Callithrix jacchus: one gene and its partners. The protein of the gene in region 4 purifies or fractionates together with the protein of the main gene of each other region. This does not show direct contact. Links are inferred from orthologs where the notes say so. Each region holds a gene or a part of one and is shown on either strand. Other genes may lie near its edges. The genes, in order: RNPC3, TUT1, SNRPA1, SNRPF, MEPCE, CLNS1A and SF3B1.

The links.
Region 1: the proteins of SNRPF (region 4) and RNPC3 purify together in Homo sapiens (co-immunoprecipitation; 3 studies listed by BioGRID and IntAct, counting the BioPlex papers as one, with this or other methods). This does not show direct contact. The link is inferred for Callithrix jacchus from reciprocal best matches to the Homo sapiens genes SNRPF and RNPC3.
Region 2: the proteins of SNRPF (region 4) and TUT1 purify together in Homo sapiens (co-immunoprecipitation; 3 studies listed by BioGRID and IntAct, counting the BioPlex papers as one, with this or other methods). This does not show direct contact. The link is inferred for Callithrix jacchus from reciprocal best matches to the Homo sapiens genes SNRPF and TUT1.
Region 3: the proteins of SNRPF (region 4) and SNRPA1 purify together in Homo sapiens (affinity purification with mass spectrometry; 3 studies listed by BioGRID and IntAct, counting the BioPlex papers as one, with this or other methods). This does not show direct contact. The link is inferred for Callithrix jacchus from reciprocal best matches to the Homo sapiens genes SNRPF and SNRPA1.
Region 5: the proteins of SNRPF (region 4) and MEPCE purify together in Homo sapiens (affinity purification with mass spectrometry; 4 studies listed by BioGRID and IntAct, counting the BioPlex papers as one, with this or other methods). This does not show direct contact. The link is inferred for Callithrix jacchus from reciprocal best matches to the Homo sapiens genes SNRPF and MEPCE.
Region 6: the proteins of SNRPF (region 4) and CLNS1A purify together in Homo sapiens (affinity purification with mass spectrometry; 3 studies listed by BioGRID and IntAct, counting the BioPlex papers as one, with this or other methods). This does not show direct contact. The link is inferred for Callithrix jacchus from reciprocal best matches to the Homo sapiens genes SNRPF and CLNS1A.
Region 7: the proteins of SNRPF (region 4) and SF3B1 purify together in Homo sapiens (co-immunoprecipitation; 3 studies listed by BioGRID and IntAct, counting the BioPlex papers as one, with this or other methods). This does not show direct contact. The link is inferred for Callithrix jacchus from reciprocal best matches to the Homo sapiens genes SNRPF and SF3B1.

The regions. Positions count from the first base shown.
Region 1 is NC_133508.1:142,404,921-142,408,420, forward strand, and holds part of RNPC3 (RNA-binding region-containing protein 3), read right to left. Parts: intron 2,818-3,500; coding exon 2,656-2,817; intron 1,588-2,655; coding exon 1,493-1,587; intron 856-1,492; coding exon 797-855; intron 1-796. UniProt on the Homo sapiens protein: Participates in pre-mRNA U12-dependent splicing, performed by the minor spliceosome which removes U12-type introns. U12-type introns comprises less than 1% of all non-coding sequences. Binds to the 3'-stem-loop of m(7)G-capped U12 snRNA.
Region 2 is NC_133511.1:119,845,782-119,849,281, reverse strand, and holds the end of TUT1 (speckle targeted PIP5K1A-regulated poly(A) polymerase), read left to right. Parts: intron 1-552; coding exon 553-662; intron 663-826; coding exon 827-937; intron 938-1,108; coding exon 1,109-1,201; intron 1,202-2,216; coding exon 2,217-3,367; 3' UTR 3,368-3,413; downstream 3,414-3,500. UniProt on the Homo sapiens protein: Poly(A) polymerase that creates the 3'-poly(A) tail of specific pre-mRNAs. Localizes to nuclear speckles together with PIP5K1A and mediates polyadenylation of a select set of mRNAs, such as HMOX1.
Region 3 is NC_133507.1:8,696,297-8,699,800, forward strand, and holds the end of SNRPA1 (U2 small nuclear ribonucleoprotein A'), read left to right. Parts: intron 1-375; coding exon 376-469; intron 470-2,707; coding exon 2,708-2,766; 3' UTR 2,767-3,004; downstream 3,005-3,504. UniProt on the Homo sapiens protein: Involved in pre-mRNA splicing as component of the spliceosome. Associated with sn-RNP U2, where it contributes to the binding of stem loop IV of U2 snRNA.
Region 4 is NC_133510.1:98,945,661-98,947,905, forward strand, and holds the end of SNRPF (small nuclear ribonucleoprotein F), read left to right. Parts: intron 1-917; coding exon 918-982; intron 983-1,578; coding exon 1,579-1,645; 3' UTR 1,646-1,745; downstream 1,746-2,245. UniProt on the Homo sapiens protein: Plays a role in pre-mRNA splicing as a core component of the spliceosomal U1, U2, U4 and U5 small nuclear ribonucleoproteins (snRNPs), the building blocks of the spliceosome.
Region 5 is NC_133503.1:13,293,252-13,296,074, reverse strand, and holds the end of MEPCE (7SK snRNA methylphosphate capping enzyme), read left to right. Parts: intron 1-1,098; coding exon 1,099-1,317; intron 1,318-1,489; coding exon 1,490-1,616; intron 1,617-1,720; coding exon 1,721-1,773; 3' UTR 1,774-2,323; downstream 2,324-2,823. UniProt on the Homo sapiens protein: S-adenosyl-L-methionine-dependent methyltransferase that adds a methylphosphate cap at the 5'-end of 7SK snRNA (7SK RNA), leading to stabilize it.
Region 6 is NC_133511.1:62,980,129-62,983,628, forward strand, and holds part of CLNS1A (methylosome subunit pICln), read left to right. Parts: intron 1-502; coding exon 503-601; intron 602-795; coding exon 796-969; intron 970-1,159; exon of another isoform or gene 1,160-1,256; coding exon of another isoform or gene 1,257-1,435; intron 1,436-3,500. Other genes in the region: AQP11 (aquaporin-11), read right to left, coding at 1,257-1,435. UniProt on the Homo sapiens protein: Involved in both the assembly of spliceosomal snRNPs and the methylation of Sm proteins.
Region 7 is NC_133507.1:118,360,301-118,363,482, reverse strand, and holds part of SF3B1 (splicing factor 3B subunit 1), read left to right. Parts: coding exon 1-87; intron 88-429; coding exon 430-561; intron 562-2,184; coding exon 2,185-2,457; intron 2,458-3,182. UniProt on the Homo sapiens protein: Component of the 17S U2 SnRNP complex of the spliceosome, a large ribonucleoprotein complex that removes introns from transcribed pre-mRNAs.

The DNA of each region.
Region 1 (3,500 bases), on a different chromosome or scaffold from region 4:
TCTCCATTAAACCTCTTTCCTTTGTAAATTGCCCATTCTTGGGAATGTCTTTATCAGCAGTGTGAAAACAGACAAACACATTAGCTTTTATAATATTTACAAATCACAACTCTCTCTTTTGCTTTCACAAAACTGGAAGCCTTGCTAATGTAGTTCTTTTAAAAGATTACAATTTACTGTCAGAGTGAGAATCTAAAAAGGTTTGCTTCATTGCCATATACTCCTGGAGGATTCATTAAAAGAATGGGTTTCAAAGCATAGTCTTTACCTCAGAAGACTCAGCATCATCCAGCAGCTTTTTAGAAACACAAATTCATGAGTCCTATCCATGAAACCTAGAAAATCAGACTCTCTGAAGATGGGCCTAGAAAACTGTTTTGCCAGGCTCTCGAGGTGATACTTATGCAATGTTAAAGTCTGAGAACCATGGATTTAGAGAGATTAGGGTCAGAATGTATTACAAGGCCTGTTTCTGTAAAGAGCTTTATTAGAACACAGCCATGAATATTTGTTCAGGTTTTATTTGTGGCTGCCTTCGAATTCAACTACAAAATTCAGTAATTCCAACAGACACAGTATGGTCTGCAATAAAATAAAAATATTAAAATTTTGCTATCTGCCCATTTACAGAAAAAGTTTGTCAACTCCTATTCTAGACATCTAAAAGATTATTCTAGACCAACTTTTGCAAATATTTTTTTATCTCTAAAAGGAAAATGCTGGGATTAAAATAGTGGTAAATTTGTAAGAGATAAAAAGAAAACATAATTTAATATCATAATTTACTGTCACTTACATGATCCGCTGTGTTTCTGATGAAAAGTCAACATATCTTCCAAAAATATATTTAAGGTCCTAGAATTTCAATAAGAAAAAGACAAATAACAAAGCTAGGGAAAAGAACTGTTAATCAATCAGTCGATCAATACATCAATAGAAGAGGTCATACGGGACTAAAATAGGCTTTAATCTAATGTGACTGTTGGCCTTTCTAAAGGGGAAATTTGGGCATAGATACATAGGGAGTACACTATGAAAAAACAAAGTCAGAAATTGTCGTGATGTTGCCACAAGCCAAGGAAGGTCAAAGACTGCCAGCTTCAGCATAATAGCAGAAGTTATGGGAGAGGATCAGACAGATCCTTCCCTCCCAGCCCTCAGAATGAATCAATCCTGCCATACTTTTGACTTCAGTTTGCCTTCAGAACTGTGAGACAACACACATCTGTGTTTCAGACACTTGGCTTGTGGTACTTTGTTACGGCGGCTCTAGAAAATTAATACATACCCCAAACTCTGTCTCAGTATTTACTGCTAGCTATGCGAATATCATTTTAATAAACAATTAACCTGAAAATACTAAACAATAATTTGACATGCCCTGAAGCACAGTAAAAAACACATTCTTATAGGTAGTTTCACCAGACTTTAACATATCAAGTATAAAACCTTCAAATTGTTTTCATTTACATGAAAAAAAATTTATACCTACCTTTTCTTGAACATGTTTAGCTAAATTCTTTACATAAATTCTACAGTTTGGTTCACCAGGTTCATAACTTCTGAAAACTGAAAGTGTTTCCATTTCTTATTAAGAAACAAAAAAACAAAAATATAAAATTAAAATATTTTAGCCAAGTTTTTAAAGATAATTATAATATTCAAATACAACTGTTAAATAGACAAAATAAGCTTTAGGAAAATGTTAAAACCATAAAATTAGTAACAATATTACAAATTAGTTTAAATATACTCACTGAAAATCTGAATTGATTATATATAAAAAAATTAACTTTTGATTTACAATTTCAGGCATCTAGAATAACTAAACTAAAATTTGTCCAATAAAATATCTACTATTAATGGTCCGTTAAGATGAGTCATGTTATAAAAAAGAGTAAAGCATATATGTTATCAATTGATTTGGGTAATTATTTCACCTAAAGTGAATTTTCCAAACCATCAGCCATCTCCATATTTAAATACAAGAATGAACTAAACATAGTATCAGGCATTTCGGACAAATCATGGCCCCAGAACCCCTGTACAGCTCCTCCCATTTAATGTCAGTAGTCTGTTCTAGAAAACTAAGATAGACGGTTTTGTATAAAAATCCTAGTTGGAAGTCTATTTCCCTTCACTGTAGGAAAAATTACACAGCAATCTAAAGCCTCTAAATATTTTCTGACAAGGTACTAAAAAAGTAAAAGTCTTTGGGAAGTAGAAAACTATCATGTGAGAATATAAAATACTCAATCATAGATTTCTAATCACTATTTGTTTTTGAAATAATTGGTTTGTATGTATCTCAGACACAGTATTTGTTGACAGTCTATCAGCTACATTTAGAATATATAACTCCAGACCTGTAGGACACAGTGACTTAACTTAAATGCCACATAAAAATTTTAGGAATGAAATCAAAAATTTTTTCCAAATATAGACTGGAAACACTGTAGGAGAACGAAAGCCTCTCCCCACCCCCATTAAGTATGAGTATTTAAAAAAAAACAGAAGAGGTGATGACAAACATTAACTGGAAAGATTTAAGTATGTGCCTTAAATTAAGGTAAATGACATGACAAATTGTTTAGTTTCTGCAGAGTCAAAGATATGTAAAATGGAATATGTGCTTAGTTTATTCCATGACATTACCTTCTCTAGAAATTCTGCCCTTTTCCAATTCCCTTCTAGAAATACATTCTGATGGCATTTCATCAGAGTCTTCTTTAATTTCCTCTGTGATATTCAAATTAGGTTTGGGGAAGATTTTTCCGAATCCTATATTGGATGCATCAACTTCAGTAGCAGGTATATCTAAGAATTCAGAGTTAACATTAGCCATTAAGAATCTCTCCTTTAAAAACAGTTTTTGGGTTCCCCCCTCCTATTTTATATTTAATAATATACCTTTTGGCACAAATTCTTTGGTGTTTTTCAATATACGGAAAGATGCATATGCAAATTTTTTCTATAAAACTCCAAATAGTAAAAAAAATTGTGTTAGGCCAGGAGTGGTGGCTCACACTTGCAATCCCAGCACTTTGGGAGGCCACGGTGGGGCGGAGGGAATCTGAGTTTGGGAGTTCAAGACCAGCCTGAACAACATGGAGAAACTTCGTCTCTACTAAAAATACAACATTAGCCAGGCTTGGTGGCCTATGCCTGTAATCCCAGATACTTGGGAGGCTGAGGCAGGAGAATTGCTTGAACCTGGGAGGTGGAGGTTGCTGTGAACAGAGATCATGCCATTGCACACCAGCCTGGGCAACAAGTGAAACTCCGTCTCAAAAAAAAAAAAATTATGTTTAAAGGGTGACTAACCATGATGTAAGAAAAATTTATAAAAAAAAAAAAATGTTAAAGAAAACATAAAAAATGGAGCTATCTGAAAAGGCACTAAAAAAAGCACCAGATTCTCACTCACCATGCAAAACAGGAATTAAAACTAGTCAGTTTTTCACTCACTATGTTTGCAATACTTACTAGAATTCTATCCT
Region 2 (3,500 bases), on a different chromosome or scaffold from region 4:
CGCCTTGGCCTCCCAAAGTGCTGGGATTACAGGCGTGAGCCACCACACCTGGCCTAGAATACTACTTTCAAGGGATATAGAAAAGAGTTCTATGGTTGAATAAATGTGGGAAATTCCAAATTAGATGCAAAAAGTTTTCTCCATTTCTTCCCTCCTCCCCTCCTTTCTCCTTTCCTTCCTTCCTCTCTCCCTTCCCGTCTTTGTTTCTTTGCAGAGTAAAGGCTCTGGGCAATCCTTTTTTTTTTTTTTTTTTGAGATGAGATCTTGCTCTGTCACCCAGGCTAGAGTACAGTGGTGTGACCACATCTCATGAGCAGTCTTACAATAATGTGCTCTGTGAATGTCCAGGATGGGTTTACAGGATGAAGTGTTTCCCGAACGCGTTTGTCCTTTTGCACACTCTCTCACAAGCTCAGTGTTTGAGCAACATTTGGGGAAACTCTATTTTGGCCTTATTCCAGCTGGCCCGTTATGTAAGTCTGGAATGAAAGTGCGGGGTGGTAGGTTCTGATGTCCCCAAGCCATAACACCCTTGTCCCTGCTTTGTCCCAGGCTGGCCCTGCATAACTCCCGTTTCCTGAGTCTCTGCTCTGAGCTGGATGATCGAGTCCGGCCCCTCGTGTATACCCTCCGCTGCTGGGCTCAGGGCCGGGGACTGTCAGGTGAGAATGAATCAGGACAGGCTTGGGGCTGAGTTGGTGTCAGGAAAAAGGCAGGGATTCTGGGCGAGAAGGTAGGTCCAAATGGGCACCGGGGTTGAGAAAACTGCCAATGAGGGGATTGGAAGCACCTCTGATCTAACCAGAATTATTGCTTATTTACCTAGGGAGTGGCCCCCTTCTTAGTAACTACGCCCTGACCTTGCTGGTGATCTATTTCCTTCAGACCAGGGACCCTCCTGTGTTGCCTACTGTGTCCCAGCTCACCCAGAAAGCAGGTACTCAGCCTAGCCTCCACCCTCTCCATCTTGTTAGCTTCCTCTCTCTTATTCATCACATTTAGACCCCAAAGCAGCTCTGCAAATGAGATCTCTGCTATCACTCTCATTTCTACCCCACCCTCAATCTCCCTGCTTCCAGACTGACTCTCACCTTTTTTACTTTCACAGGAGATGGGGAACAGGTGAAAGTCGATGGCTGGGACTGTAGTTTCCCCAGGGATGCCTCGAGACTGGAGCCCAGCACAAATGTGGAGCCCCTCAGTGAGTTTGGGGAGCCTGGTAGAGGACTAGTAGTGATGTTCATCAATAGTAGGTAACATCACACTGTGTGTCAGGCATGGTTCTCACAGAAAGCCTGTGAGATACCTAACACTATTACTGTCATTTTACAGATGAAGAAACCACGTTTTGGAGCAATTAAGTGGCTTGCCCAAGGTTACATGGCCAGCAAGAGGGAGTAGCATCTGGGAAGGACATCATGTGGGGTCAAGGAGAGAAGTTTGACCTCTTGTTACCTCTTGTTTTTTTTTGAGGCGGCATTTCGCTGTTGTTACCCAGACTGGAGTGCAATGGCATGATCTTGGCTCACTGCAACCTCCGCCTTCTGGGTTCAAGCAATTCTCCTGCCTCAGCCTCCCGAGTAGCTAGGATTACAGGCACGCACAACCATGCCCAGCTAATTTTTGTATTTTTAGTAGAGACGGGGTTTCACCTTGTTGACCAGGATGGTCTCGATCTCTTGACCTCGTGATCCACCTGCCTCGGCCTCCCAAAGTGCTGGGATTTTAGGCGTGAGCCATTGCGCCCGGCCTACCTCTTTTTTTTTTTGAGCCGCGTCTTGCTCTGTCGCCAGGCTGGAGTGCAGTGGCATGACCTCTGCTCACTGCAACCCCTGCCTCCCATGTTCGAGTGATTCTCCTGCCTCAGCCTCCTGAGTAGCTGGGACTACAGGCGCGTGCCACCACACTGAGCTGATTTTTGTATTTTGAGTAGAGATGGGGTTTTACCATGTTGGCCAGGATGGTCTTGATCTCTTGACCTCGTAATCTGCCCGCCTAGGCCTCCCAAAGTGCTGGGATTACAGGCGTGAGCCACCGTGCCTGGCTGACCTCTTGTTCATAGGGATCAGAGAAGTCTAGCTTCCTGGGACTCTGCTGATGCTGAGACCTTCGAAAGGGAAAAAGAAAGTCCTGCCAAGGAAATGGCTCAGGTGCAGGACCTGTCTCAGTTCTGGGCTCTAAATGACCCCCTTTCCCCACTTTTCCTCCTCTTCCAGGTTACCTGCTAGCCCAGTTCTTCTCCTGTGTCTCTTGCTGGGATCTCCGTGGCTCACTGCTGTCCCTGAGGGATGGTCAGGCACTGCCTGTGGCAGGGGGCCTGCCCTCTAATTTCTGGGAGGGTCTGCGCCTTGGCCCCATGAATCTCCAGGACCCTTTTGACCTCAGTCACAATGTTGCAGCCAATGTGACCAGCCGGGTGGCTGGGCGCCTACAGAACTGCTGCCGAGCGGCAGCCAATTACTGCCGAAGCCTCCAGTACCAGCGCCGTTCCTCCCGGGGTCGGGACTGGGGGCTGCTCCCCCTTCTGCAGCCCAGCTCCCCCAGCTCCCTGCTCTCTGCTACGCCAATCCCTTTACCCCTTGTACCCTTCACCCAGCTCACTGCTGCCCTGGTGCAGGTATTCAGGGAAGCACTGGGGTGTCATATAGAACAGGGAACCAAGAGACCGCGGTCAGAAGGAGGTGGAATTGGAGAGTCCTCTCAGGGAGGGACAAACAAAAGACTGAAACTAGATGGACAGAAAAAGAGCTGTGAGGAGGGGAGAGAGGAGCAGCAGGGAGGTGCAGGGGATGGCGGGGAAGACGGGGTAGAAGAGATGGTTGTAGAGGTTGGAGAGATGTCTCAGGACTGGGCCATGCAGAGCCCTGGGCAGCCAGGGGAGCTGCTGCTGATGACTGGCAATCATGGAGCCCCTGGAGAAGAGGGGCAGTCCAGCCAAGCAGCCCTGGCAGAGCAGGGGCCCAAGGGACATGAGGCAGCCTCAGGAGGGTCTCAGGGCGAGGCAGGGAAGGAGATATCCCTCCCCTCCTCGGTGAGCTGGCGCTGTGCCTTGTGGCACCGAGTGTGGCAGGGGCGGCGGCGAGCCCGTAGACGCTTGCAGCAGCAAACCAAGGAAGAAGCTGGAGACAGTGCTGGCACAGGAGCAGGGTGGCTGGCAACTGAGGCTCAGGTCACCCAGGAGCTGAGAGGACTGAGTGGTGGCGAACAGAGGCCAGAAACTGAGCCCCTGCTGAGCTTTGTGGCATCTGTCTCCTCGGCTGACGGAATGCTCACCGTGACCCCACTCCAGGATCCCCAAGGCCTATTCCCTGATCTCCATCATTTCTTACAGTTGTTCCTCCCTCAAGCACTTCGACATCTCAAGTAAAGACATGGCCCCTAAAGGGCAATAAAGCTGCTAGTTTCTTAATACAGAGAGTCTCCCATTTCATTTCCTTCTGGTCATAATCCTCCTTTCTCTACCTCAGAACTTCATGCAGCTGCTCGGCCCTGCCTTGTCG
Region 3 (3,504 bases), on a different chromosome or scaffold from region 4:
AAATAATTTTGGCTGATCAGTAGGGACCCTAGTTTTATAATGTTGCCTCCTTAAACTATTCAGTAGTTCTTCAAATAGTTTTTCAAATAATTCAAATAGTTATTTCATTTAGCTACAGTTTTAGGACATCTGGAGTGATTATTTGCTCTCTTTTATAAGAGGGCCCGCATCTCTTACCCAATTTTGGAAATTTGTGATTTGGCTTCTAGTTTTATTTCTGTATGCCAATAACATTCTTCCCCCAACACCAAAGTGTTTAATGTTCCAAATGGAGAAGTTGCTGTGAATTTCTGTAGGTGATTGATACTTAGTTTTCTGGGTAGTTGATACTTGGTTGAAGTTAATTATCCATCTCCATTGCCCTCTGTCCTCCAGAATGCTATAGCAAATGCTTCAACTCTGGCTGAAGTGGAGAGGCTGAAGGGCTTGCTGCAGTCTGGTCAGATTCCTGGCAGAGAACGCAGATCGGGTGAGCAAACGGTGTTCTTTGTCCGTTCAAATTAGTGTTACACTCGGTGTGACTCTCATAACCATTTGGATGTTATGACTCCAGAATGCTGGAACAGTGCCTCCTTACATCACATCTAATACATGAAATCCCTGTAAATGCTCTTTGAAGATAAAGTACTGGATGAAGAAAGCTAAGTCATAGTGCTGTGGGGGTTTTATGTAGAAGTTGAAGCTAGTATTATTTCAGCCATGGAGTGAACTGAACACTGGAGATAGCCATGTGGACGTTTGCCTATCTGTATCTGTGTGTGTGCATAATAGCTCAGTAGTCAGGAACACGGGCTCTAGAGCCAAGCAGTCTGAGGCCCAAATCTTAGCTTCACCAGCTCTGCCCTTGGACAAGTTTTTTCAAGTCTGTTTTCTCATCTTTAAATCTGCGTTAATAGTACCAAACCTCAGAAGGTTGCCGAGAGGCCTAGGAGACTGCACTTAGCGCAGGGCTCAACATTAGCGAGTTTTTGATAAGTGGTAGCTATTCTGCTGTTTGAATGCCTGCTTTATGCTGGGCAGCAGGTGGGGCACTGGGGATATCAAAAAATACTGAAATACATCTTACAAGTTTTGATATGAATGTAACTGGGGACCTCTACTTCGACTGCTATCTTGGGGAAAGTTTCTAGGGAAATAATGTTTGAGCTGGGAGCTAAAAATGAAAAAGACATTTTTTAAGAACAGTGATTTTCTACTGTATGGTTTGTAGGCCTCTGAGAGTCCGTAAGATCAAGACTTTTCTTTATCGGATACACCAAGGTGTAACTACTTTTCGTACGAACATTTGCACTGTTGGAGCAATAGGAGGTAGAACTGCTGGCACCTCAGCAGGAATCAAGGCAGCGGGCTAAATAATAGTTGTTATATTCTTCTCTGCTCTGCGCTCCCAGTAGAATGCATACCAGTTTCACGTAAGAGTGTTCTGGATGCAGCAGTGAAGATTATGAAATGTCACTCCTCAAGCACACGTCTGATATTCTGGGTGAGAGAATAGTGGTACACATCTGCATTGTCTGCATACTTGAGTTGGGGGGCTATCTCCATGCACTGGGCTGTCGTTTCAGTTGAGAGGCAGCTGTTAACTGTCTTCTAGCTGTCTTCTCAAACACGATGAAATGAGCCTGTACTTCAGTGAAAACAATTGAAAATTTAAGATTTCAAGCAAAAATTAAAATTTGGAAAACTTGTATCCACTGCTCTAACCTGCCAGCTTCCCAGTACTTAAAAGACTTTTCTGGGGAACTCAGTAGTCATGTTAATGCATGTGAATTAGTGGGTGTGACATTTTTGATGTGTAATTAAATGTCTCAACATTTGGAAGATCTGCAAAACCCGGGAACCTCTGTTTTCCAAATGATACAAAATCATGTACAGGTACAAGATTTTGTTCAAAGTACAAGATAAAGTATGAAAAGTTCATTGGTAAGGTTGGCCGTGATGGTCTTGATCTCTTGACCTCCTGATCTGCCCTCCTCAGCCTCCCAAAGTGCTGGGATCACATGCATGAGCACCACGCCCGGCCTGGAATGGTCCTCTCCCTTTTCTAACTATATACCTGTGTGGCCAAATTTTCTTCATGCTCGTCAATCAAAATAGCATATTGCAAGGGCTGGACTGATGAAGCCAATACAGTAATCCAGCTGACTGGTGTTAAGTCAGATATTCCTAATTTCCCCAAGCAAATGAAAGGGTTACGACTCCCCGCCCCCGCACCCCCCCCAAGAAATTGATCAAAATATCTGCCATAAATTGTTGAACAAATGTAACATTTTTTGGTAATTGTTGCCATATTTTCCCAATTTAGAGACAATAAAGTCATTGAACTGTTGCCAATACCTGGTGTGTAGAAGGTGCCCAAAGGCTTTTGAGTATTTCCAGTTTCTTTGCTATGGTAGTGCCATGAAAAGCACACGAATGTAGACTTTTTACCTTCACAAGAATGAATTATCGTCAACTACAGTGGGAGGCGGCAATTCTGAAACTTTTGTGACCCTTTTCCTTTGAAACTGATCATCTCGTCCCGTACCTGCCAAAGACAGACTAGACTGTCCCTGGGCAATCGGCTCCCCAAAGGCAGGGGCTGCTTTTGATCTGTTTGGACCTGCTTCAGTGCCTAGGAAACAGGGGCCACGGAACAAGCACTCACATGCCAAGGAGATAGATTCTCTAAAACTGATTCTACTTTCGGTTTTGTGGTTTTCTTTAGGACCCACTGATGATGGTGAAGAAGAGATGGAAGAAGACACCGTCACAAACGGGTCCTGAGCGGTGGGGCAGATGTGTGGCAATAGGCCCTCTTGGAACAAGTCCTGCTTTTCAAACATGGGATAATAGCCTTGTTTGTGTTAGCAAAGTGGAATGTGTCAGCGTTGCTGAAATACTTAGGACTGCTGCTGATAATTTTGTAATGTAAGTTTTGAAATCTAAATGTCAGTTTTCTACAAGTCATAAAAATAAACACTCGGTGTGCTGCCGAGTTGTGTGTCATCACGGTGCATTTGCAGTGAAGTCTAAGGATGTGTTTCATTTGTAAATGTGGGAGGGCAGCATTTCCTCAGATTAGTCCACCTCCTGCAGTGTCATGAACATGCCAGTAAGGCCACCTTTTCTACTCCCATGTAGCCCTCATGTTAATACAGACTTGCCTGTCGCTCCGTCTTCTGATAGGACACTGAAATGATTCCATTTTTGGAATTGATTAGTGTGTCCCACTTATCCTGGTTACGGGTTGTTTTCGAGGTTTTTTTCTTCCCCAAGCTGCTCTCCAACTCTGGCTTTAAGTGATCCTCCCACCTTGGCCTCCCAAAGTGCTGGAAGAACAGGCCTGAGCCACCATACCCACCCTCTAGTTTTAGATATGTACGTAGTTAACATAAAGGTCGCATGGCGAGTCTTCAAGAATGTTTGCTGTTGAAAGGGGTGGAACTCACTCCTGTTTGAAGAACACTACTGTTTGATTGCCATCTCCGATCTCCCTTAGCCACGACAGTTGTAATCCAATCT
Region 4 (2,245 bases):
AACTAAACATTTTGATATAAAATTAGAAATAATAAGAGTTCAACAAAATAACTGTAAATGTGAAACTTAACTATTTAACTTTCTATTAAGAACTTCTTTTTCCCTGTTTATTAGTACAAAATTTTAAAAAAATTATTATTCATTGGCCAGATGTGGTGGCTCATACCTATAATCCCAGTACTTTGGGAGGCCAAGGCGGGAGGATCACTTGAGGGCAGAAGTTCAAGACCAGCTTGGGCAATATAGCAAAATTGTTTTGAAGTAGCCAGGCTTGGTGGCACATGCTTTCTATCATAGCTACTCAGGAGGTTGACGTGGGAGGAGCCTAGGAGTTCGAGGTTTTGGTCAGCTATGATTGTGCTACTGCACTCCAGCCTGGGCAACAGAGTGAGACCCTGTTTCTTAAAAGGCAAGAAAAGAAGAAAATTCTTACTTAATTACCTGCTTTGGATGTTGCCTAATATGAAAGTATTTGGCATGTTAGCCATAGCTTTTGTAACCCATTTGGACACCTCAGTATGATTTATAATGTTGACTCTGAGAAAACAACATTTGGTGCTTTAGAATGAATTTTCAGAAAACTTTTTAATCACAATTTATTCATAAATTAGAGACTGCTTCCACACAGTTTTGATATCTGAAATATTACGTAACCTGGGAGATTCAGAAACTTATGTTGAAACAAGCTTTATTATATATTTGTTCTACATCCATGAATGTTAATTTTACTGAAGGTTTATATGAAACCAAAAGTCCTACAGTAGTAATAGAAAGCTCATCTTCTGTTTATTAATTATAGATAGATTTGAGTTGTTGGTGTAGAAAGGTATCAGTTAATAAGTTCTCTCACAGTATTAGCTGTATTGTAATATTTTCCTCCTGTGTGATTATACTAATATATTTCTTTTTATTGAAAGCTTGCAAATACAGAAGAATACATAGATGGAGCATTGTCTGGACATCTGGGTGAAGTTTTAATAAGGTAAAAAACAGCAGTGGTATATGTAAGGAGTTACTGGTGAGCATTAGGAATACCTGTTTTAAATATATTAGAGCCTCAATTTTGGAGTTACTTATTTTTAAAAAATCACTATTAACTTATAATACTTTACAATTGGACTTCAGAAGTCTTTGAAATTGCTAAACTTGTCAAAGATAAGTTTTAAAATGCTTTAGAACTGGCCAAAAGATTTTTCTAGTGTTGATGTTAAATTTTCTGGCTCTTAGCTATATAACCTTTTTCAGTGGCCTTCATTGGAGGCACTTAGTTTTGAATTTTAGTTGGGTCTGGCTGTTTGTAAGAATTTTTGTACTAGCTTCAAAGCTCCAAATTCTGATAATTATTTCCCTTGGAAAATTATAAAGATATCATTTTATAACAACCATATGGTTGAAAATCAGTGCCATGTGCTTTTCAACTTATCTATGTAAAACGTTTTTTAAAAACAAATATATATTTTTTGAAAGACAGGAATATTATAAATATAGCATTCAGTATTTTCATAATAAAAAATATAGTAATTCAGATCATACATGGATTCTGGTTGAAACAACAAAATGGACTTTTTCTATTTACAGGTGTAATAATGTCCTTTATATCAGAGGTGTGGAAGAAGAGGAAGAAGATGGGGAAATGAGAGAATAGCATATTTTGTGGGGGATTTTTTTTTTTTCCTGACCCCAGCCCCTGGGATTTTTTTTTATATATATATATTTCTAGACAATAAAGATTTGTTTGTTCTTGACTTGTGAACTATTTGTATTCAGATATTTACCAGCAAAGCCCAAATGCTGAACCAATTGGGAAAGATTACTCACAAAACTAATGCTTTAAAAGTCACTGAATTTTATTTAAGTTGCTTTTTTTTATAAGCTTGATACTCTTTTTTTTTTCTATAAAGGATAGTTATTTATATGCTTTAGATATTTTTATGAAGGTGAATTTCAGACCTTTTCTTGTAAAATTATATCTTAGCTGAGACCTTTTAAATGCAACTTTTAAAGTTATTTTTGAGCCACTTTTAACATGTATAAAATTAAACATGTTTTTGGTATTAATGTACTGTCTTATTTTACTTAGTAAAATTACATGTTACTTCTGTGTCAGTATAAGCTAAATGCACATATTGTAGCTAAAATTGAAACATCTAAAAATTAAAATGATTGTGCAGACAAGGCACAACGGAAATTGGGAACCGACATTTAGGCTGAAGGCATATGGTTTGTTTACTAAGGAGAAAAAAGT
Region 5 (2,823 bases), on a different chromosome or scaffold from region 4:
CATCTCTTCCCTTTTATAACCCGGAAAGGTGATCTCTCTACCTTGGGGCCTTGACCCTGGAGTCCTTTCTCATGACCTCAAGGGTCTCCAAAATAGAGGAGGACTTTTTTTGCCCAGCTCCTGGCTTGGCCTATAATCCACACTGGTCCACCTTCCCTTTAAGGCTGCTGTTACTGCTCACTAGGGGATTCAATCCAGCTGGAACTTGGTCCTCAGATTTACTGAAGAAGCCTGAGAATGGGAGTCAGGCATGGAATGTCTTCTGGGGAGATTAGGGTAGCGGCAGACTAATACTGGCATTTCTGCCCATTGATAGAGACCTTGTTCTCATCAACAGCTTTTGTTTTCCTAGACAGTTTGTTGAAGAGTGTCAGGAACCCAAGTGGCTTGGCTGTAGATCCTCTCCACACTGACCCTAGATAGTAGGAGAGGGAAGAGCCAGAAACTACACAGAGAGGAGAGTCCCATGCCCACCACAGTGTCCCCTGACTGCACACAGCTCTCGGAAAACATCCCAGTTAGGCCGTCTGCTGGGATCTTTGGCATTGTGTTGGGTTAAGCCTGAAGAATGGTCTTTCTAGAGGGCTGTGATGAGCTTATCTTCTAGAAAAGGTTTCCTGAAGGATGTGGCTCTTCATATCTCTCAGAGGAAGCAAAGAATAGGCCTGAAACTTTGCCAACCCCAACTGCAGAGAAGGAACCACAGGTCTGCCTGTGGTTTGAAACCTGGGTTAGTTAGTTATCCTTGCAACTAATTGCAGTCATTCCACCTAAAGTCTGTGGGTGAGAATAAGCACGGGATAGGGTCCTGGGACCTCAGCTTTGGAAGACTTCATGGATAATTTGCACCATTTAAAATTACCCAGGCTCCCTCTAGACGTTTTTTGGCTTACACCAGTAGGAAGAAGCAGAGGCCAGGAAGGTGTAGAGGAGAAAACAAAACTCAAAGAGGGCCCCTTTTGGGAGTTAGTCTGAGAAGAATATGACCATGGGCTAAAGTGAGGCTACAGGACTGTGTGTCGGCCTCAGGGCAGGTTGCCTGGAAGCAGGGGTTCTTTGATTCCCTCTGTTGACCTCACTGCCGATTCCTGCCCCCAGGGTAATTACGTGCTGGATCGAGATGACCTGGTGGAAGCCCAAACACCTGAGTATGATGTGGTGCTCTGCCTTAGCCTAACCAAGTGGGTGCATCTGAACTGGGGAGATGAGGGCCTGAAGCGCATGTTTCGCCGGATCTACCGGCACTTACGGCCTGGGGGCATCCTGGTCCTAGAGCCCCAACCCTGGTCATCCTATGGCAAGAGAAAGACCCTTACGGTGAGTTGGATGTGATGGAAATGGGGAATAATCCTTTGGTTGAGGCAAGAAAAGGCCTCAGGGAATAGAGAAGGAATTTCTGAACAAGGTGAAAAGGCCCTCCGGCTGGGCATCACTCTTGGCCATGGGAGGTGGCCAGCATGCTAAAGTGGTCCTTTGCTTCTCTCCTTAGGAAACAATCTACAAGAACTACTACCGAATCCAGCTGAAGCCAGAGCAGTTCAGTTCCTACCTGACATCCCCAGAAGTGGGCTTCTCCAGCTATGAGCTTGTAGCCACACCCCACAACACCTCTAAAGGTAAGGCTGGTTTATTTTGTTGGGAAGGCTTGTCCTGACTGATAGAGTTCAGATCCCATGGGGAGGTGCTGCCAACCCCTTCTGATCACTGTCTCTCCCCTCAGGCTTCCAGCGTCCTGTGTACCTGTTCCACAAGGCCCGATCCCCCAGCCACTAAGTGGCCCCTTGAACAGAAAGTGTGAAGAGGCTGCCTTCGCTGCTCATAAGGACCTGGGGGAAGAGGAAAGCGTCCCAAGGTCTTTCCTTTCTGACTCCAAAAATAGTTTTCTTCTTGGATCTGCAAAGAAAGCTTTTCTTCCGTCGCTGCCGCTGCCTCAGCCTCCTCCCTACGCCTCTGACACTTGTGCAGCAAGGCTGGCTGTGCTGGAGTCCCCATCTTCCTCTCCCACAGCCTGCCAGGCTGGATGGCATGGACTGTTTGCTGACCTCTGTTCTCCTAGGGCATGGGAGGTGGAAGGATATAAAATTCTCTAGCCCTTTCCTCCTATTCTCCCAAGGAGAGAGATTCCCATATCTCAGCCCTTTTCCCTAGCTGCATTTCAGTGGACCATGGATAGGTGGACTGAAGGTTAGAGGGGGAAGCCTGGTAGGGAGGCACGAAGGTACTGTGAAAATCTTTCCCTCTGCTGTCCCCCAGTGGGAGAGGGGGTTGGGTTTTGAATGTGAGAACAGCACAATAAACTTGATGTCTAGGGCAGTGGCCCCCACACTTGTGTTGGGTATTTTATAGCTGGTGGGGAAGACGTGGTGCTTCCTCTTCCGTCTCAAGGAAGACAATTTTTCAGTGGCTGGGTTGATTGTTGCATGCTAGCCAAGTCCACACAAAAGTACACAGAAGCCTAGAAAGGCAAAGTATGTAATGCAAATTTTGGTGTGTAACTTGGAGTCTGCCTTCTCTCCCCAAAAAAGCCCTGTGAGGGCCTTGGGCAGAAGGCTAACTCTGATTTTTGTTTTCCTGAGATGGAGTTTCACTTTGTTACCCAGGCTGGGGTGTGCGATCTCAGCTCACTGTAACCTGCGCCTTCCAGGTTCAAGCAGTTCTCCTGCCTCAGGCTCTGGAGTAGCTGGGATTACAGGCCACAAGCCCAGCTAATTTTTTGTATTTTTAGTAGAGTTGGGGTTTCACCATGATGGCTAGGTTGGTCTCAAACTCCTGACCTCAGGTGATCCGCCCACCTCAACTTCCCAAAGTGCTTACAGGCGGAAG
Region 6 (3,500 bases), on a different chromosome or scaffold from region 4:
CTGTATTGCCCAAGCTGATCTTGAACTCCTGGGCTCAAGCAATCCTCCCATCTCAGCCTCCCAAAGTGCTGGGATTATAGACATCAGCCACTGCACCTGGCCCTGATTTTTTTTTTAAGAAAGGAGTATTTTTTTAAAAATAGGCATTTATTCTTGAATAGTGAACTGTGTTTTATGGTGTCGCACCCATGAAGCAGAAATTTAGGATTATGTTTTTTAATTAGAAAAAATCTTCATTATATAAATTAAGTTGTGCTCAAAATTCCCACCTCAGGATAATGTAGGACTCCCTGACCTTAGGAACATGCTTTTTCCTTCTAGTCCCTGGACATGGGATTATTTGGGAATTGCTGTTTACTGGCTCGTTACTTCTTTTGATAATCTTAGAGGGTAGGGACGTTTTCTTTGTATCTCTGTCTTCAGTAGTAGCCTGTACATGTGCTTAAATAAATGTTGAAAACTATCTTCCTGGAAACCTATTTTCACTGTACATTATCTTCAGCAGATGCCTCCTCCCTACCTCCCAGACAAGGTCTTGCTCTGTCACCCAGGCTGGAGTGCAATGGCGTGATCTCAGCTCACTATGACCTCTACCTCCCGGGTATAAGCGATTCTCCTGCCTTAGCCTCCTGAGTAGCTGGTCCACAGGCATGCACCACCATGCCCGGCTAATTTTTGTAGTTTTAGTAGAGACAGGGTTTCAGTATGTTGGCCACCCTGGCAGCAGATGTATAATTATCCATTTTGTTTTTTCTAATTGTTGTATAATAGCTTCGAAGTTTTCTGTTTGTTTAGAACAAGGGCAGGGGGATATCCCTACATTTTACACCTATGAAGAAGGATTATCCCATCTAACAGCAGAAGGCCAAGCCACATTGGAGAGATTAGAAGGAATGCTTTCTCAGTCCGTGAGCAGCCAGTATAATATGGCTGGGGTCAGGACAGAAGATTCAATAAGAGATTATGAAGGTGAGTGTCCTTTCTCAGTGTGATTAGTTAGATGGGCACTTGGCCATTAAGTTAATGGATAGTCATAGAAGTTCTTTTAATAACTCTAAGAGAAATCTCAGAATTGACTTTTTGTACTATAGGAAGCAGATATAGAATTATATAGTATGGAATTCTTATGTCATTTGTTTTTAGTGATTTTTTTTTCTCATTAGAAAAGTAGTCCTTGTTCATTAAAAAAAAGTTTTTAATGTGCACAGGCAAAGTAGAAGTGAAAAAAATAAAACAAGTATAATTCTAACTGAGAGCTATCCTTTTCTGTTGAATCTCTGTATTAGTTTGCTAGGGCTATTATAACAAAGTATCATACAGGCTGGGTGGCTCAAACAGTAGAATTTTATTGTCTCATAGTTAGGGAGGCTAGAAGTCCGTGGTAGATTATCTCTGAGGGCTGTTGGTTCAGGCGTCTCTTCAGGTATACACACACCTACCAAAGTGAAGAGAGAGACAGATTTTAAGAAATTGACCCACATGACTGAAGGCTGGCAAGTCCAAAATCTGCAGGGTAGGCCTGCAGATTGGAGACCCAGGGAAGAGTTGATACTGCATTCTGCTGCAACAGAAATTCTGCTGGCAGAATTTCTTCTTGCTTAGGGGAGGTGAATCTTTTTCCTTTTGAGGCCTCCAGCCGATTAAGTGAGACCCACCAAACTATCAAGGACAATCTGCTTCACCCAGAATCCACCAGTTTATAAGGCTAATCTCATCTAAAAAACAACCTCCTCAGAAACATCTAGAATAATGTTTGACAAACTGTCTGGGTACCATTGCCTAGCCAAGTTGATGCGTAAATTTAATTATCACATCTTTTTTTTTTTTTTTTGAGGTGGAGTTTTGCTCTTATTGCCCAGGCTGGAATGCAGTGGCATGATATTGGCTCACTGCAACCTTTGCCTCTTGGGTTCAAGCAGTTCTCCTGCCTCAGGCTCTTGAGTAGCTAGGATTACCAGCATCTGCCATCATGCCCAGCTAATTTTTATATTTTTAGTAGAGGAGTTTCACCATGTTGGCCAGGCTGATCTTGAACTTCAGGTGATCCGCCCTTCTTGGCCTCCCAAAGTGCTGGGATTACAGGCATGAACCACCATGGCTGGTCCTATCACACCCTTCTTATAAGGACACCAGTCACATTGTATTAGGTCCCACTCTAGTGACCTCACATGAACTTGATTAACTCTGTAAAGCTCTCCAAATAAGATCATATCTGAGGTATTGGAAGTTAGGACTTGGGGAGACATAATCCAAAACACTAAGAGAAATCTTAGAATAAACTCTTTATAGTAGAGGGAGTAAATGTAGAATTATATAGAATAGACATTCTTATGTAATTTTTTGTTGTTTATTTGAGGTAGTGCCTTGCTCTGTCGCCCAGGCTGGAGTGCAGTGGCACGATCTCAGCTCAATCCAACCTCTGCCTCCTGGGTTCAAGCATTCTTCTGCTTCAGCCTCCCAAGTAGCTGGAATTACAGGCATGCACCACCATGCATGGCTAATTTTTTGTATTTTTAGTAGAAATGGGGTTTCACTATGTTAGCCAGGCTAGTCTGAAACTCCTGACCTCAAGTGATCCACTCACCTTGGCCTCCCAAAATACTGGGATGATAGGCATGAGCCACTGCATCTGGCTCTTACGTAATTTTTTAAGTGTTTCTTTTCTGTCTACAAAAATACTTTCTATTCCTAGTCAAAAATTTTGAAAGTATGCTCAGGCAAAGAAGAGAGAGAAAAAAATCAAAAATAATTCTGAGAGGTATTTACTGTTAATTTTCTGTCGCATATTCTTTCAGTTTTATTTGTGTTCTTTTATGTGTATATATACACTAATTATTATTTTTTTGAGACGGAGTTTTGCTCTGTTACCCAGGTTGGTGCATTGTTATGATCTCTGCTCACTACAACCTCTGCCTCCCAGGTTCAGGTCATTCACCCGCCTCAGCCTCCCAAGTAACTGGGATTAACAGATACCTGCCATCATGCCCAGCTAATTTGTTTATTTTTGTAGAGATGGGGTTTTACCACGTTGGCCAGGCTGGTTTCAAACTCCTGACCTCAGGTGATCTGCCCAACCCAGCCTCCTGAAGTGCTGGGGATTACAGGCGTGGGCCACTGCGCCTGGCCATGATTCTGTCATTTTTATTTATTTATTTGAGTCGTAGTCTTAGTCTGTCTCCCAGGCTGGAGTGCAGTGGCATGATCTTGGCTTACTTCAATCTCTAACTCCTGGGTTCAAGAGATTCTTTTGCCTCAGCCTCCTGAGTAACTGGCATTACAGGCATGCGCCACCATGCCTGGCTCATTTTTGTATTTTTAGTAGAGATGGTATTTTACCATATTGAACCAGGCTGGTCTCGAACTTCTTACCTCAGGTGATCCACCCACCTCTGCTTCCCAAAGTGTTGGGATTACAGGTGTGAGCCACCATGCCCAGCCAAGATGTTACCTTTTTTTTTTGAGACGGAGACTTACTCTGTTGCCCAGGCTGGAGTGCAGTG
Region 7 (3,182 bases), on a different chromosome or scaffold from region 4:
GCTGCCTAGACTCACCCCCATCTTAAAGAACAGACATGAAAAAGTACAAGAGAATTGTATTGATCTTGTTGGGCGTATTGCTGACAGGTAAGCAGATTACCCAAACATTTTTATAAGCAATATCAGTTTTCAAGTTTGGCCACTTTTTATTCAATTAGCAAAATTTTTTTAATGTCACTAATATAAGTGTATATGATTAGGCTATCCAGTATTAATATTTTCAGTCAAATTTCATTTTGGATGGTAATGGGGTGGCAATATAATTTTAAGACTAAACCTTTAAGACTAACTCTAACCTTTCTGAAGAGTAATAACTTTTATTTAATGCTTAAAATGAGCTAGCAATCATGTTTTTAGAACTGAATTTGCAAATTTACCCTTAAAACTTAATGTCACAAAAATTAATATGTGTATTTCTTTTTTAATTAGGGGAGCTGAATATGTATCTGCAAGAGAATGGATGAGGATTTGCTTTGAGCTTTTAGAGCTTTTAAAAGCCCACAAAAAAGCTATTCGTAGAGCCACAGTCAACACATTTGGTTATATTGCAAAGGCCATTGGGTGAGTGTTATTTACTTCCATTAAAAAAAAATTATAGTAAATCCGTTGTGGTGTTGAAATCTCTTTTGAGGCATGGTCTGAGTAATGCAGTTGCAAAAGCACTTCATTTAACCGCTGACCTTCTGATTATTGGAATGCATTCTTAAATTCAATTCTTTCTTTTTTTTTTTTTTTCTTTTCGAGACAAAGTCTTGCTCTGTTACTCACTGCTAGAATGCAGTGATGTGATCTGCAACCTCCACCTTCTGGGTTCAGGTGATTCTCCTGTCTCAGCCTTCCCAGTAGCTGGGACTACAGGTGTTGCACCACCACACCTGGCTAATTTTTTGTATTTTTTAGTAGAGACGAGGTTTTTACTATGTGGGCGAGGCTGCTCTTGAACTCCTGACCTCAAATGATTCACCTGCCTTGGCCTCCCAAAGTGTTGAGATTACAGGTGTGAGCCATTGCGCCCAGCCTGTAGTCTTAAATTTTTAATTGAATTAAAATAAATTTACTTTAATTATATGTTAGGTATTTTCAGGGAGAGAAACAGTACCATTTTCAGAAAAATTTTAAATGTGTATTGGTTTTTTGGATATTGCTTAAACTATAAAGGCAAGTTTTTAATCTTACAGCATCATTTAAGTCTCATATTGAATGCTCTGTGTTTTAAAAATTTTATTATGGATTGCTTGAGCTTAGGAGTTCAAGGTTACGGTGAGCTGTGATTGTGCCACTGTACCCCAGCCTGGGCACCTGGGCCCAGGACAAGACCCTGTCTCTAAAAAAACAACAAAAATGCTATTCTAACATTAATCCACAGATTTAACTGAATTATAGCTGCTTTGTGAAATAATCTGTGGTTGTTTACTTCCACTCCATTACAACTAAAGTGGGAAAAAGCAGTCATTATAGAAAACGAGACACTGCGTGTTCATGTGGCTTAAGTAAGAAAATGTTTTTAAGGAATATGACATGCGAATGTCTGATTCCTTAGTTAGAATTAACCAGACCATACTCTCTCTCTTAACACATACTCATTCCTCTCCTATTTTGGTAGCATAATATTTATTTTAGTGGTGATGGAGTCAAGAAATTTGCAGCCAATAGCTGTTGTGCAAGCTTTTAGCCTCAGTGTCCCATAAGCTTATGTCAAAGAAGAGGTGAATAGATGCAGCAAATTGTGTGGGAGGGAATATGAAAGGAAAAAAGATTTCATATGGTTTATAGTGGGAGACTGCAATTTGGATACTCATACCTAGTTCTAGTGCCCATTTTGACAACTCAGAGAATTACTCACTTTAAACATTTACTTACATTTCTTTATATATCAGAAAGTTTAAAGACTGAACATTGAGAATTAATTTGAGTTAACTTAACATTTTTAGAATTCATACAGCTATGGCCTCTGATCTCAGAGTTAACTTTTAAAAACTGATCTTTTAATTTATATGAAATTTTCATATAGAAACAACAATGCCAGTGACTTGAAAATACTGCATTTTTATCATAAAATTACTGAGCTCCCTGTCATTAGTATTTAAAAGTTTTCATCCTCATGCGTTTTTTTCTTCCATAAATTTTTGACTTATGGAAATCAAAGTTCGACTTATTATTGTTGACCCATTTGTTTTTTTTCAGCCCTCATGATGTATTGGCTACACTTCTAAACAACCTCAAAGTTCAAGAAAGGCAGAACAGAGTTTGTACCACTGTAGCAATAGCTATTGTTGCAGAAACGTGTTCACCCTTTACAGTACTCCCTGCCTTAATGAATGAATACAGAGTTCCTGAACTGAATGTTCAAAATGGAGTGTTAAAATCACTTTCCTTCTTGTTTGAATATATTGGTGAAATGGGAAAAGACTACATTTATGCTGTAACACCATTACTTGAAGATGCTTTAATGGATAGGTAAGTGACTTGAACTAAATACAGGAAAATAATTATAACTCTTCCTTCATTTTAGAACATCCTGAAATAGTTATTAGATGACTTTTCATTGTAATGTAGATAAAGAAAAAAATGCTAGCCTGGAGTCTTAGGACATTGTAAATATGACTTATTATTTAAAATAATGTGCACATTGTAGTGATTCTCCAAAGTTTCTTTCAAGTTCCCCACCTCCCTTTAAATCTCTTTTCATATCTGTTGAACTACATTTTGAAAAGGGTTGATAATCTTTTGTTTTCAAAATTGGTCAAATATAGTTACAGGAATTGATGAGCAGGAGCTAGTCAGTGTGGCAGAGACCTGATGTTTTTTAGCTTTTTATTGTAGGTAAAGCACAGATTTCTCTTAAGCTTTCGAATTACTGAACATAGTCTGACAGAGCTGCACTCTTCCCATTGCAGATCCCTAGTGTTTCAGATGGTGACCACCAGTACAGTACTGTTTGAGTTATTTGACAGATTCCTAATACCTTTTACCATCTAGACTGATATTATAGCCGTAAACACAAAAGTAACTGAAGAAAGTGCAAAGGAAAGTGCAGGCATAGTAAAGGAAAGAACTGTTTAACTGGCTCTGTATTTTTCAGGAGAGATAAGTTACTCAAATCAGAGCCCATTCAAATACTTTTGTGTATAAATTAAAGTTATTCATTAATGACCTGAAAGGGAGACTTAAATGGACTCATC